2 linked regions of the Ovis aries genome follow. The protein of the gene in region 1 purifies or fractionates together with the protein of each later gene. This does not show direct contact. Links are inferred from orthologs where the notes say so. Each region holds a gene or a part of one and is shown on either strand. Other genes may lie near its edges. The genes, in order: CAPZA1 and TNKS1BP1.

What was found.
Region 2: the proteins of CAPZA1 (region 1) and TNKS1BP1 purify together in Homo sapiens (affinity purification with mass spectrometry; 3 studies listed by BioGRID and IntAct, with this or other methods). This does not show direct contact. The link is inferred for Ovis aries from reciprocal best matches to the Homo sapiens genes CAPZA1 and TNKS1BP1.

Annotation. Positions count from the first base shown.
Region 1 is NC_056054.1:90,059,654-90,062,523, forward strand, and holds part of CAPZA1 (F-actin-capping protein subunit alpha-1), read left to right. Parts: intron 1-107; coding exon 108-179; intron 180-2,008; coding exon 2,009-2,071; intron 2,072-2,870. UniProt on the Homo sapiens protein: F-actin-capping proteins bind in a Ca(2+)-independent manner to the fast growing ends of actin filaments (barbed end) thereby blocking the exchange of subunits at these ends.
Region 2 is NC_056068.1:79,343,656-79,347,474, reverse strand, and holds part of TNKS1BP1 (182 kDa tankyrase-1-binding protein), read left to right. Parts: intron 1-886; coding exon 887-2,518; intron 2,519-3,819.

The sequences.
Region 1 (2,870 bases):
TGCTCAGAGTTGGTGAGATTGAGGGTGACTGAAGGCATGGATTTGTGCTCTAAGCAGTAAGTTTCTATGTGCTCTAAGCACTTACATTTCTTAACTTTCTTGCACAGGTTCACTATTATGAAGATGGCAATGTTCAGTTGGTTAGTCATAAAGATGTACAGGATTCAGTAACTGTTTCGGTGAGTGTGGAATATTTAATGTATGTCTCACTTGTGTCTAGTTTCTCTTTTAGATCTTTTGATCCTGAGTACTGATTCTGCCACTAGAAATGTGGTTGTTTTCATTGCTTTGATTTTGGCAGCTTGTTTTTTTTTAAGAACTTCATTAAAGACCTTATTTTATTGTTTTTAATTTTTATTGAGTATAGTTGATTTACAATGTTGTGTTCAAGTATATAGCAAAGTTATTCATATATATATATACACACACACACATATATATATATACATACCTACTTATATTTTTTAGATTCTTTTCCATTATAGATTATTAAAAGATACTGAATACAGTTCCCTGTGCTACTCATTAGGTCCTTATTTTTGGCAGCTTATAATTGTTAGTATATAACCAACCAGTTTTGTTGGTTAGTTGATGATAGTTCACAGACTGACTGAGAATAGTGATAATGGCTTTAGAGAATTCATGCTGCTTTTTCTTTCTCTCGTGAGATTTGCTCAAGGACAGTAGTATCTTCAATTGATAAATACCAGGAGGAAGGAAAGTTTGCCAAATTAAACCCTATAGGATTTATCATTCATATCATTAGAGAAACTGAACATTTTTAGAAATGTTCAATAATAGTATTGTACACTATATCTGGAAAGAAGGGACATAATTTTTTATGCATTTATAGTACTTCTTAATATTCCTAGAAATTACTGAGCTTTTGTTTATGTGTGTTATATCTATCTACCTTAGTAGAAATTAAAATTGAAGAATATTAAAAATATGTATTTTTTAATTTAAAAATAACAGGGATGTCCCTGGTACTCCAGTGGTTAAGATACCATGCTTCCACTGCAGGAAGCCTGGGTTCAATCCCCTGATGGTAAACTGAGATCCCTGGTGTGGCCAAAAAAAAATCTAAAGCAAAATATAGCATTAACAAACCCATTACTTCTTAACTTTACTTTCATGAAAAACAGCTGTATTTTTCTGAGTTAAAAAAAGTAAGTGGAAAGAATATCATTAATTTACATTTTCACAAAGTGTGTAATGTCTAACTAATAAAAGACAGCTGGATATGTGCTTCACACATTAGCTCTCAAAAAGTAATGAAGTCGTCACACATTACATAGCTTCTATGAAACTACATGCACACATTTGAAAGTAGAAACGGCAAGTAACTATGTCTTAGTATTATTATGAATAAAAAGTAGTTTTGACTCTTCTGAAAGAATCTTGGGGCATGGCCCTAGGCATTAAATCTCACCCTCTCTAATTCTGTTTACTTAAAATTGCGAAAGGAAGTGTGAGATTAAATTCATTTTGTACCCAAATCATGTAAAGTGAAATGTGATTGGTTGTCTCAACATCATAAGGAGAAAATAGAGGAGCCTATGAACTTAGAAGATATACTTGATATGTCTGAGATCATTGTTTTTATCAATTAAACCAGAGATATTGTCAAGGCATAAAAATTTCAAGACATTGTGTTATCTTTTGGGCATACTGTGGTAGATTGGAAAGAAATGTGGATTGTTTTGATGAAGACCTACCTAGATTTGGATCCCATCTTTATGATTCAAAGGCTGTATAATTTTGGTCATTATTTGAAAGAATTCTGTTTTCTTGTCTGCAAAATGGAGGTGGCAATAATAACATGTATTTCACAGGGTTGTTTTAAAAATCAAAGAAGATAATGTGCACAGGAAAACTTGAAAAACTAGATTGTTATACAAATGTTAGTTAAGATGGACTTACTCTTTAGTATCTTTTTTATTCACTACTTATTGAATTTTATTCACTGCTTAAGATTTTTTAAAATTCTTACTATTCCCTCCATTAGAATGAAGCCCAGACTGCCAAGGAGTTTATTAAAATCATAGAGCATGCAGAAAATGAGTATCAGGTAAGATAACTTGAAACTGTTTTTTATAGATCTATATAGATTTTGCTTTTAACACATTTGTTATACTTCTCTATCCTTTGAACATAAATATACATAATTATTCAGTGATACTAAGTATGGAGACTTTGCAGACCTTGCAACTTTACATTCTGCTTACAGTCAAGGTTTTGGCATTGGAAGGTACTGCAGATATATCCCCATTACCCCAAAGTAGAGCATCCCTATGAAACCTTTCCAAGGCCAAATGGTGTAAAGCGGAGAAGCATTTACCTTAGAACACATCTTGCTATCAGATGTACAGAATGATTGAGATACTCCTCAGATCCTCACAGACACAGTTCACAGCTCTGGCTTGCTTGATGGCAAGATGCTGAGTGTAGTTCCCAAGGAAGGAGCTTGGTGGGGCCACTATTACTGCTCAGGGTGCACCCTGTCCCTGTAACAGCCTCACTGCCAAACAAATGGCTAAACTCTTTTTTTTTTTTTTTTTTTTTGCTTTGGTAAAAGCAAAGTGAAAGTGGTAGTCACTCAGTTGTGACCGACTCTGCGACCCCATGGACCTACAGCCTGCCAGGCTCCTTTGTCCATGGAATTCTCCAGGCAAGAATACTGGAGTGGGTTGCCATTCCCTTCTCCAGGGGATCTTTCCAACCCAGGGATTGAACCCAGGTCTCCTTCATTGCAGGTAGATTTGCTACCTCTCTACCATCTGAGCTACCAGGGAAGCAAAGTGACATACAGCAAACTTTGGAAAAGCAGGGGATTACCTGTATAGCCCTAGTTTTAGAAATAATAGAGG
Region 2 (3,819 bases), on another chromosome or scaffold:
ACCACGAGGTGGACATTGTTGCCCTGGCCCTGGGTTGCAGGTGGGGACGCTGGGGCTCGGAGAGACCCCGCGTGGGAAGGCATCCCGCCGACAGGGGAGGTGCTGGTGTCTCCCAGCGCTTTCACGGTCCCTGGGGCTTCTGGCCTGAATCCCGGGTCCCGCTGTCCCCCGGGCAGCGCTGGGAACGTGGATGCTCAGAGCAAGGGTGCGAGCTGCTCCCAGGAGCTGGTCTGAAGCTGCCCTGGGCCTGGTGGAGTCCCACCCTGAGGCCACGCACCCAGCCAGCCAGACTCTCTAGCTTCCTTTTGCCTTTCCTTTACAAAGCCAGTTGTAAAAACACATATTTTATTTGTTTACATACTCAGCGGCACTGGGTCCCACGGGATCTTTGATCTTCACTCTAGCTCGCGCGATCTACAGTGATGACATGCAGACTTTTAGTTTCCACACTTGGGATATAGTTCCCTGGCCAGGGATCGAACCCGGGACCCCCCTCATTGGGAGTGTGGAATCTTAGCCCCTGGACCACCAGGAAAGCGCACAAAGCCAGTGTTCCTGACCCATGAACCTTGGACCCTTAGGAACTCACATGAGCTTTGGGCTTGGGGGATGCGGGTGGGCGTGGTCTGAGTGATCCCCTGGGAATGGAGCGCTGTGCATTTTGTGGGGGGAGGGCCACACGGGAGGGTCTGGGGGCCCTGGCAGTCTCGGACGCCTGAGGTCATTCTGGAGCTTCTATTGGTTGTCCTGGGGCTGTCCCTGCGCCCCGGTTTCCCCCATGGAGTGAGAGTGTCAGGCAGCTAGCGCTGACCTGGGGTCTCTCAGGGGTGGGCAGGGGCCTCCCTGAGCTTGCGTAGCAGTGACGGCTCCTGACTTTCTCTTGCAGGTTCTCAAGCCCTGGGTGCCCCCTGGTCCAGGCCTCACCTTGGAGAATGGAGGCACCCCCGGCCTGGGTCTCCCCACTGAAGCCTTGGGCTCGGGCCCCAAGTCTCCTCACCTTGACTCCCTCGAGGGGGGCTCTCCCCTTCACCCCCACCGTCCAGAGGCCCAGAGCCCTGCTGCTCCTAGGCCTCCCTCCCTGCCCCCTGAGACTCTGGGCTCCCCAGCTGCGGGCCTCCCCAAGGAAGGCTCCCACCACCTGCCTGCGAGCCCAGGGGTCCCAGCCGTGGCCGCCCCGGAGGCCCCCAGACCCGGCAGCCCCATGGTGCGGGAGCTCACGGGGCACTCCAGCCCCGAGCAGTCCCCAGCCACAGCACCCCAGCCCCTGACGGAAGCAGGTGAACTGCCGGACCTGCCTCGGACGTTTGCATCTGGGGATGGCGCGGCCCCAGGGAGTGAGGACCGCCCTGCTGGCGGCCTGGCCCAGCGGCGGTTTTCTGAAGGTGTGCTGCGGCCTCCCGGCCCAGGCCGGGAGCAGCTGGGGGGCTCGCTGGTCACCCTGCCCCAGGCCCAGGGGAGCCCGTCCGCCCTGGACCACCCCTTGGGGAGTGGGACAGAGTCCAGCTGGAGCTTGTCTCACTCCTTTGAATGGACCTTCCCCACACGGCCTACAGGCCTCGGGGTGTGGCGGCTGGACTCCCCACCGCCCTCCCCCATCACCGAGGCTGCGGAGGCTGCAGAGGCCGCGGAGGCTGGAGACGGGGCCGTGTCTGCCTGTGAGGAGGCTGAAAACTGGGCTGCGTCCACCCGGGAGGAGGCCGGAGGAGGGGCCGCAGAGGCCAGAGATGGGGCCACGTCCACCCAGGAGGAGCCTGGAGGCGGGGCCGCGTCCACCCGGGAGGAGGCCGGAGGAGGGGCTGCGTTCACCCGCGAGGACCCCGGAGACTGGGCTGTGTCCACCTGCGAGGAGGCCGGAGGTGGGGCCGCGGAGGCTGTGGAGGCCAGAGATGGGGCCGTGTCCACCCAGGAGGAGGCTGGAGGCGGGGCCACGTCCATCTGCGAGGAGGCCAGGGACTGGCCTGCGTCCACCCGGGAGGAAGGCGTGTCCCAGCCAGGGCCGGGGTCCCCGCTGGCTGCAGAGGGACCAGGAAGATCTGCTTCCCGGGGGCCGGGGGAGGACCCGGGCTCCTCCCAGAGCCCAGTGGGCGGTGGGGAGGACCATTCTCTGGAGTCCTCACCAACAGCAGGGGACCCACCTGGACCAGCCTTGCTGCAGGTAGAGATACATGGGGAACGGGAGCCCCCTCCACCCGCCCAGGAGGCCGCCCTGCGCGTCCTGGAGCCTGTCCTGGGGCAGGAGCAGCCAGTGCCCCCGGACCAGCCCTGCGTCCTGTTCGTCGACGCCCCCAAGCCCGGGCAGGCGCTGTCTGTCGAGGAGGACCCCCTGGCCCTGGCCCTGGCCGAGACCACCCGACCCAGGACAGCGGTTCAAGACCCCCGCCGGGCATCCCCCGAGCCCACAGGGCCCGAGAGCAGCTCCCAGTGGCTGGACGACCTGCTGGCCTCGCCCCCGCCCACTGCACGGCGGGGTGCCCCGTCTGAGCTGAAGGGCGCCCCGACCCCCAGCGCCTGCTCTGAGGTAAGGGGGTCCCTGGGCAGGGTTCAGGATGGAAGTCAGGGGCTTCGGGGGGCCTCGTTGTTTCAACACGGATGCCCTGTGTCGGGAGTTTGGGATCCAGCCGTGAGCAGGCACCTCTGCCCCTGCCCTGGAGGTCCGTACCGTCGGCTCAGCTGGCAGAGCAGAGGGTATGGACTGCTGCTTAGAGTCTAGTCTGAGTCCGCATCTGACCCCAGCTTCCGTCAGCTGAGTGGTCTCGGGCACATACGCCGACCTCCAAGCTTCAGAGCCCTTTCACAATGATGACATTTGCCTCATAGACTTGGGGGCTTCCCGAGTGGCACTGCTGGTTAAAAATCTGCGTGCCAGTGTAGGAGACACAGGTTCAGTCCCTGCGATGGGAAGATCCCCTGGAGGAGGGCATAGCAACTGACTCCAGTACTCTTGCCTGGAAAATTCCATGGATGGAGGAGCCTGGCAGGCTGCAGTCCGTGTGGCCGCAAAGAGTCGGACACGACTGAGCGACCGAGGACACTTAGGTTGTGTTGTGGGCAAGACAGACGTGGAAAACGCTGGGTGCAGGGCTTGGCACCCCTGAGCGTTCAGTCTGTGAGGATGGGTGGTTTCATGAAGGGCGCCAGCAGAGTCAGATAGACGTGGGTCCTGGACCCAGACTGCCGAGTTGCTGTCTTGGCCCTGTTCCTGGCCCACGTGTGAGCTTGAACACATGACTTTCCTGCCGGCACCTCAGTTTCTGCGTCTGTAAAATGGGGAGAATGGTGCTGGGCTCTACCTCGCAGGGTGATGGCTGCAGTGCTTGTGAAGTACTCAGACTAGCGCCCATCGCGAGTGCTTGGGAGTGTTGCATCTTGGAATGTTCTTACTGTGAAGTTCAGACTTGCTTTCGTAGAGGCCCAGAGGAGGCAGAGCCTTGTGCAAAGGTTACCCAGTAAGCTGGCAGCTGGGCTAGGGCCAGAGCACCGATTCCAGGGCCAGTGCCCTTTCTAAAACTACCGGGCTGCCCAGCGGTTTCAGGGATGGGGTCCAGGTGGCGTTTGAAACGAACTTTTCACGCCCAGCCCGCGGCTGGCAGGGGCGGGGCTGGGGGGAGGGAGGAGCCGGGGCCTCTGGGCGGGGCCTGGGGAACGAGCAGGAAGGAGTTAAGCCCTCTGGGCTCCCGCGGTAGGTGTGTCCGTCCGCGGTAGGTGTGTCTGTCCGCCCCGGGATGCGGTGACTCAACTGGCCCCCGGGCGGGGCGCTGAGAGCTGCAGCTGCTCTGCAGGGAGCGGGGCCAGGGCCGTTGGACAGGTCCGGGCGGGCGA